2 linked regions of the Callithrix jacchus genome follow. The protein of the gene in region 1 binds, or shares a complex with, the protein of each later gene. Links are inferred from orthologs where the notes say so. Each region holds a gene or a part of one and is shown in the gene's direction. Other genes may lie near its edges. The genes, in order: SIKE1 and SLMAP.

Evidence for each region.
Region 2: the proteins of SIKE1 (region 1) and SLMAP are in contact, whole or in part, in a crystal structure (PDB 6AKM), measured with the Homo sapiens proteins. The link is inferred for Callithrix jacchus from reciprocal best matches to the Homo sapiens genes SIKE1 and SLMAP. Residues at the interface, in NP_079349.2 of Homo sapiens: Ile5, Ile8, Leu9, Ala12, Lys13, Leu16, Leu19, Arg20, His22, Asp23, Ala26, Glu27, Leu29, Val30, Ser33, Ala34, Leu36, His37, Val40, Met43, Arg44; in NP_001291349.1 of Homo sapiens: Leu168, Tyr171, Leu172, Glu174, Ala175, Arg178, Glu179, Met181, Leu182, Lys185, Thr188, Leu189, Leu192, Leu193, Ile195, Thr196, Ala199, Ser200, Thr202, Ser203.

Annotation. Positions count from the first base shown.
Region 1 is NC_133508.1:152,760,448-152,764,950, reverse strand, and holds the start of SIKE1 (suppressor of IKBKE 1), read left to right. Parts: upstream 1-1,625; 5' UTR 1,626-1,702; coding exon 1,703-1,873; intron 1,874-2,085; coding exon 2,086-2,191; intron 2,192-2,954; coding exon 2,955-3,097; intron 3,098-4,503.
Region 2 is NC_133516.1:39,559,890-39,563,711, forward strand, and holds the start of SLMAP (sarcolemmal membrane-associated protein), read left to right. Parts: upstream 1-1,543; 5' UTR 1,544-1,897; coding exon 1,898-2,095; intron 2,096-3,822. Other genes in the region: uncharacterized protein LOC144579547, read right to left, coding at 554-1,543. UniProt on the Homo sapiens protein: Associates with the striatin-interacting phosphatase and kinase (STRIPAK) core complex, forming the extended (SIKE1:SLMAP)STRIPAK complex.

The DNA of each region.
Region 1 (4,503 bases):
TCTGTTAATCATAGGAGGGACATGATGGACTCAGGGCAGGTAGCACATCACCCTGGCATTGATATGGGACGAAATAAAAGTTTGGAAATTGATACTGTCTCTGGGATACCTTGACAAAAAAAAAAAAAAAAAAAAAAAAAAACGGAATGCTGTTTTGAAGGCATGAGCCTAACCACGCCCCATCTGCGAGCATGTGATCAGTAAAACTGCTTTCGTTTCACCGCACCTCGCTTCTCATGTTTTTGGCCTCTAAACAGCAAGCAGCCAGATGTGAGCCAGTTGCAATAGCAGCATTATTTACAATAGCAAAAGATGGAAGCAACCCACTGGATGAATGGATAAACAAAATGCAGAATATACAATACAATGGAGTATTATTCAGCCTTAAAAAGGAAGGAAAATATAATATGTGCTACTATATGGATAAAACTTGTGGACATAATGCTAAGTGAAATAAGGCAGTTACATAAATACAAATGCTGTATGATTTCACTCATGTCAGGTATTCAGGAAAGTAGCATGGTGGCTGCCAGGGGATGGGGAGAAGAAAGAATGAGGAGCTACTGTTTAATAATGCAGAACTTCAGTTTTGCAAGATGAAAGAGTTCTAGAGATGGATGCTGATGGTGGCTGTATAACAGTGTGAATGTACTGCTATTAATACTACTGAACTGTATGCTTAAAAATGGCTCAGATAGCCGGGCGCGGTGGCTCACACCTGTAATCCCAGCACTTTGGGAGGCCGAGGCGGGTGGATCACGACGTCAAGAGATCGAGACCATCCTGGTCAACATGGTGAAACCCCATCTCTACTAAAAATACAAAAAATTAGCTGGGCATGGTGGCGCGTGCCTGTAATCCCAGCTACTCAGGAGGCCGAGGCAGGAGAATTGCCTGAACCCAGGAGGCGGAGGTTGCGGTGAGCCGAGATCGCGCCATTGCACTCCAGCCTGGGTAACAAGAGTGAAACTCCATCTCAAAAAAAAAAAAGGCTGAGATATTAAATTTTATGTGTATTTTACCACGATTTTTAAAAAATTAAATGAAAATAGGTCAGGTGCGGTGATTCACGCCTATATTCCCAGCACTTTCGGAGGCCGAGGCAGACAGATCACTTGAGGCCAGGAGTTCCATACCAGCCTGGCCAACATGGTGAAACCCTGTCTCTACTAAAAATAACAAAAATTAGCCGCATGTGATGGCACATGCCTGTAGTCCCAGGTTCTTGGGAGGCTAATGCAGGGGGATCGCTTGAACCCGGGAAGCAAGGGTTTCAGTGAGCCGAGATCACGCCACTGCACTCCAGCCTGGGCAACAACAGCAAAATTCCGTCTCAAAAAACAAAAATTTTAAATTAAAAATTAAATGAAAATAAAAACTATGAGTAACAACCCACATCGATGAAAACCAGTAGGGAAAGGAGAACTTCCTACTGCCCAGTTAATCATGGCCTGACCAGCAGGCTGTGGGAATTGGAAACCAAGGGCGTGGCAAGGGCAGGTCTGGGGCTCCGCGCTGGGCAGGACTGCAAAGAAGCCACAGGTTCCAGCGGGTAAACCCGCAAACGGGACTGCTATTGCGCAGGCGCAAGACACCTTTTAAACGTGCCCGGAAGTGACGCTTGTAATGCTGAGACAGACTCCCAGATCTCAGCAAGTCGCGTAGCTGAGCCCGGCAGGTCCAGTGGGGTCGTGCCGCTGCTATGAGCTGCACCATCGAGAAGATCCTGACAGATGCCAAGACGCTGCTGGAGAGGCTGCGGGAGCACGATGCGGCCGCTGAGTCACTGGTGGATCAGTCGGCGGCGTTGCACCGGCGGGTAGCCTCTATGCGGGAGGCGGGGACGGCGCTTCCGGATCAGGTCAGGCAGAGGGTAGGAGTCCAGTGCTCTCGGATTCTGGGCACTGAAGGGTGGAGAGCGAGGTAAAGTGGGAACTCGGCCTGGAATTGATTCCGCGTCTCAGAGGGCGGCGGTGAGACATTTTTCCTGGGTCGGGGCTGAGAAACCTGCCCCGGAGCGCTGATTTCTGCCTCTTCAGTTGCATCTGCCGCTGTTCTCTACTTAGTCTGTCTCTGTTTGTCCAGTATCAAGAGGATGCATCCGATATGAAGGACATGTCCAAATACAAACCTCACATTCTGCTGTCCCAAGAGAACACACAGATTAGAGACTTGCAGCAGGAAAACAGAGGTTAGTCGGGCCTTTTCATATCTGGTAATAGTTTGAAAGGTATTGCAGAATTGCCCTAACCGTTCACAAAAATGTACATATATTTCCAGGTCAGTACTTTTAGTAGGCGAGTCTTCCTGTGCTGGCCCGGTAACAGCAAAGGTTTTTAGATTACCCTTTTCAAGATCATCTGACTGATTTTGTAGCAGCTTACCAAAGAGCTGCTAAGTAGAGTTGAATTCTTGCAAACTTTAATGTTTAATAAGTATTAATGAAAATAAACACTAAAGGTAAGGTTTAAGGTTTTGTTTATGTTCTTGTTCATGCAAGGGAAGCAGCAGAATGTTATTTTAAGGGTATATATTCTTCGGCTTGATTAGTATATTATTAATAATTGTAGTATTACTAGTTGTTTACCAGCGGGGTTTCACAGGTATCATTCTACTGTATTCTCCTATCTTCATTTTTAGCTATTTATTACAATGCAGTTAAGAAATACACTCAGAGACGCTAAATGATTTACTTACAAGTATTAACGAAGCAAGTTACAGAACTGAACTCAAACCCGTGTCTTCTGATGACATATCCTTTGTTGTTTCTGCTTCTCTGCCTAGAAAGTTATCTTTCACATAGACTTTAACTGTTCAGTTTTGTGGACTTAAACCCTGATTTACAGCTTTGGATTCATATTATCTCTATAGTGTTACAAAATTCCAACTGTTAAGACTTTGGATATGGGAGCGCTCTCTCAGACATCACTGCCAAGTTATTTTATTTTTGATAGAGCTCTGGGTTTCCTTGGAGGAACACCAGGATGCTTTGGAACTCATCATGAGCAAGTACCGGAAACAGATGTTACAGTTAATGGTTGCTAAAAAAGCTGTGGATGCCGAACCAGTCCTGAAAGCTCACCAGTCTCACTCTGCAGTAAGAAACTTTGAATAAATTCGAAATGAACTGAATTGAAATCTTGAGATTGTTCATTGTGTGCTTGTTTTTGTTTTGTTTTTTGAGATAGGGCCTGGCTCTGTCGACCAGGCTGAGGTACAGTGGCACGATCTCAGCTCACTGCAACCTCTGCCTCCTGGGCTCAAGCCATCCTCTCATCTCTGCCTCCTGAGTAGCTGGGACTACAGGTGTACACCACCATGCCCTGTTAATTTTTGTGTATGTGGTTTTTTGGTTTTTGGTAGAGATGAGGTTTCACTGTGTTGCCCAGGCTGGTTTGAAACTCCTGTGCTCAAGCAATCCATCTACGTTGGCCTTCCAAAGTGCTGGGGTTACAGGCATGAACCACTGTGCCTGGCCATGTGTGCTTGTTTTTGAAGAAAAGTAAGCTTGTTTTCCTTTCATGTTTATCACGTTTGTTGTTGATTTTGCCATGGCTTTGTAAAGATATGAATAGAAAGGAGGAGGATGGGGCTGCTCAGGTCCTTTTATTTGAGTAGGAGTAAGGTACCCCCTCCCTTACCAAGATCTCTTTTGAAGATGTTCATTAATTCTTAGCTCTCCCACCAAACATAATGCCAGTTAGTGTTGAAGATGCCCAGTAAACACTTGGTTGCTTATTCTTTATACATCTCACTTAAGCTCCTTTGTTGTAAGGAGCATGAATTCATATTTTATTCCTACCATAGTACCTGACATACAGCAGGCGGTCAGTAAACATTTTTTAAACTGAACTACATAGCATTATACCATGTTGTTAGGGAAGAGAAGTATGCTTTTTTTTAAAAAAAAAAACAAAAAAACAAGCATGGCATAGTTTCTATACTTTGCTTATGATCTAATTTGAGAGACTCAGTAATTATTCTTATGCTTGTAGGTGCTTCGTAGATGTCATTGTACATTCATGTGTACTGTATGATTTAAATCTAGATGTGTAGATTGGAGCCTACTATATGCTACTGTGAGATGCAGTGAAAGATAAGCTTCGTCTTAAACTCCATTGAATGCATTTTACTGACTTAAAAGTTTTAGGAAACAGATATTTTATAAATATTTGAATGGCTTTCATCTGGAATAGAAAAGTAGATTTTATTTTTTCTCTTATGGAGGAAAAAACTTGAACCTTGAAAGAGACAGAGTTTACTCAGATAGATAAACTTTCTAAGTGATATGTCCAAAGATGAAATGTAATAAGCTTCCTGCCAATTAACGTATTCAAATTTAAGTTAGCCACTTAGAGATAGTATCCAACATCCAATGGGTAGTTAAACTACAATTGATTTTTCAAAAAAAAAAAAATTATCTGTGAATACCACAAGGTCACTTGACTATGGCTTTATATCTGAGGACTAAAATTGTAGTGAAACTCCACTGTAACTTCTGTA
Region 2 (3,822 bases), on another chromosome or scaffold:
ACTAAGCGTTTTTTTTCCGGGAAGAAAACACAGAGAAAACTTTAGCAGAGGGGAGGATGGTCCTTCGGTTAGGCGAACATCCTAAGACTTGAGGGAATTTGGCTGCTCACACTTAAGGTGGCTGCGGGCGACTCTGTTGCCCACAGCTAAGATGGCTGCTTATGACCATCTCCTTTGGCCGCCTCTGCTTTTTGCTCACTAGTATTTTCATCGAGGATTAAAGCGAATAAAATTTAGCAAAGGTTGGCATCTCCTTTCCAAGTAGATAAAATAAGAAGGTGGCACGGTTTGTTTCGAAAATCTTCTAGCGCGCGAATTGTTCTTGCCCTTAACGAAAATGGTCGTTGTGGTTGTCCCGAGGTTTGAAGCTTCCAGCCCTTAAATAAGATGGCGCCTAGAGGCGCGTTAGAAATTAGCTTGCCCGTTTTTCTGCCCTCGACCAACACGGCTTCCGTGGCGTCGCTCACGTGACATTCCTGGACTACGGCGCGGGAGAGGGGGTAGGAGGGCCCTTGAAGGGAGCGCGTTCCCGTGGCGGTGTACCCGGTAGGTTTCAGTCAGAGTCACTATGGCGGCCGGCGCTGGCAAGGTAAGCTGAGGCGGCGGTGGCGGCTAGGGAGGTAGAACCCGTCGTGGCGTCCTGCCTCCAAATCCTCGCAGCCCGCTTGTGGAGAGGTCGGCGGAGGTCATGCCTAGCGGTGGGAGCTGGCGGGGGTCTGGCTGGAGGGGGCGAGGGCTGAGGCGGGCGGGCTGAGGCGCCTGACGGCCGTTTGTTTTGATATTTTCCCCACCAGGTCGGAAAGTTTCCTGCCTCGTCCGGCGCAGCTTGAGCTTGCTCCATTGGCCGTGATCGGTGGAGGCTGCGGCGGACCCAGCCCGGGGCCTCCAGGCCTCTCCCTAACCTCCGGGCCAGTCTCCCTCCCCCACCTTCTCGTCCGCCCGGAGCTGCGACTGCTGTCCCTGAGATGCGACCCTCGCGGGGGCGACCCTGAGGGGAGGCGGCCCATGTGCTGAGCGGCGGCGACCAGGAGCCCAGGCGTCCGGGGACCAACTTCCTGCCGCCCGAGAACCCGAACCTCCCGGTGTCGCGCCTCGCTCGGTCCGCACCGGCCTGCGGAGCCGGGTCCCCGCCCTGGTCGCGGGGACACCCGCCAGGTGCCCAGGAGTCCCGACTTGGCCACTGCTCGCGCCCCGCCGGCCCCCACGCCTCGCGCTGAGGACCCCAGGCACTGCCGCCTCGCCACGCCGGGGACCGAGTCCCCCTTCCCGGGGCGGCCTCCGCGCAGCAGGGGCGATGCAGACTGTCCCGCCGGCCGTTTAGAGCCCCTCCGCCTCCGTCACCTCTCGCCCTCCACTCCGGGCGAGCACGGGCGGTGGCTGCCCGGAGGTGCCCGGCCACACCTTCCTTCGGCCCAAAAGGACTTTCCTGGCCGCGCCGAACCACGACCCTTCCTTCATGCTGCAGTGCTGCAGCGTTTCCGCCACCGAGGGGGAAAAGCGGCCGCGATCTCAAACCAAACACAAGAATTGGAGTGTGACTCATCTGCTTGGATACCTCCAGTCCCCAAACTGTGCTCCAGGAGTTTTCTTGGCCGAAGCTGCCCGATGTTTGAGCCGTTTCTTCCCAGAGAGGAAGATGGACTGAAAGCTGCCCGTTGGGGACTTTTCGTGATTAGGGCACTGCTGGGTTTTGGAGGAGGTGATGGGGCTTGCGCTGGCTTGTCTTCCCACCCAAGTGAAGAGTTGTTGATGTTCACTGGTTATGCATAGACAATGTGCAGTTTGTTTTAATTTAAAATTTTGGGTGGGATAGGGGTATAGGCTTGTGAAGGGCAGCCCGGATCCGGAGGAACTCCTCTTTGTCCCTGGTAGGAGAGACACCCCAAGCCTATCCTCGATGCCGTCAGCCTTGGCCATCTTCACTTGCCGCCCAAACTCGCACCCGTTTCAGGAGCGTCATGTCTACCTGGACGAGCCCATCAAAATCGGCCGTTCAGTGGCCCGCTGTCGACCAGCGCAGAATAATGCCACTTTTGATTGCAAAGTGCTGTCAAGGAACCACGCTCTCGTCTGGTTTGATCACAAGACAGGCAAGGTAATGTCACCACCACATTGTCCAACTGCATTGTTTAACAAACTCCTCCCCCACCCCACCTTTGCCCTCCCTGAAAGGCCTGACTTTTGCAGGATCCCAGGCTTTGCATCCACAGGAGGCTTTGCGCAAAGCCAGGAATCAACTGTTTGTGTGCCTGGTTCTAGTGGAAATTTGATTGAGGTGGTTGAATGGAAAACAGAGAAGGTATTGTAATTAAAAGCCTCAGGAGAGCTATGGCATCTTGATAACGTAGTCATTCCCAGAGAAATCCCAAACTAGATTGTGAAACTTGGCGTCTTGCTTTCAGTCTGTTGAGAAAGGTGAATTCACAGTTCAGCTCTTTATTAAGCAAGCAGCAGTTCTCAAAGCAATTCGGGGAATCCGTGGCCATTATTACCCTGGTGCTCAGGTGTCTTTGTGGTGAAATGTAGTTAACACATAGCTTTAGTTGAGTTCAGATCAAGACCTTTCTAAGTAAGGACAGTTGCTGGTGTAAACCTAAGATTTTTGAAAGGTTTGCTATATACTTGCTCTTGAAGGAATCATTTGCAATAATCAAAGCTAATTTAATTAAGCATGAGAACTGTACTTTATATATATTGAGAGTTTTTTTTACAAGTTGGTTGCACATACATATATTGCATTTGAAAATCACTTTTTGATGTTCCCTGCAGCACTTATTAAGTACTTATTGCATACTTACAGAGGTGCTATGCAAAAGTTAGTGTTAGGAAGTGAACTTATTTTCTGAAATTACACCCTAGTCTTTCAATTATAGTGTTACTTAAATGTGATAGGATGAATTCAGTGCTTTTCATTTTAAGTGTAACCATTTTTAGCATTTTTGCGTTAGTATCATGACTTACTATACATGTATGAGCTTTTAAGAATGAAGAAAAAAGATAGGATCATTTCCATTTTTAAAAACTATTTATGTTTGTGGAGAGTATACTAAAGAGCTCGTCTTAGTGCCTAAACCTCAGGTTTTTAGCCGAGCTACTGAATCAGTTCCAACTTTAAGTTATGTAAGACTAATAGGACTGTCTCAGGTTTCACCTCCTGACTTTTTGCCCCTTCTTTCTGAGTTAAATAATTAAATCTTTCTTAAAGGAAGAACTTAAGTCTTCAAGAATATGTTTTGAAGTGAAAGAAACCTGAGCCTCAAAAGGAAGAGAAAAAAATGATAACTTTGGCAGCTACTGATTTAAGGAAATATTTTATTATTTTTTAAAGAAAGGAGGAAAAGACTGTCCGAGTTATGTGTGCTCCATAATATCTATATTGTGTGTGTAGCATGAGAACTGAAGAGTATGTTAACTTTTCTGTGTAACACCAGTTCCTCATTTACCTGTGGAACAGACCCTTCCCCCAAGCTGGTTAGGGGTGCCTAAAATACTTCATAGATTACTTGATATACATATATATATTTTTTTTTTTTTTTTGACAGATTTTTACTTGCAATCTTTTTTTTTTTTGAGACAGATTTTTTGCTATTGTCACCCAGGCTGGAATGCAGTGGCACTATCTCAGCTCACTGCAACCTCTGCCTTCCAGGAGAATCAACCTCTGATTCTCCTGCCTTAGCCTCCCAAGTAGCTGGGATTACAGGCGTATGCCACCATGCACAGCTAAATTTTGTATGTTTAGTAGAGACAGGGTTTCACCATGTTGGCCAGGCTGGTCTCGAACTCCTGACCTCAGTTGATTCCCCCCCCCCCCCACCTCAG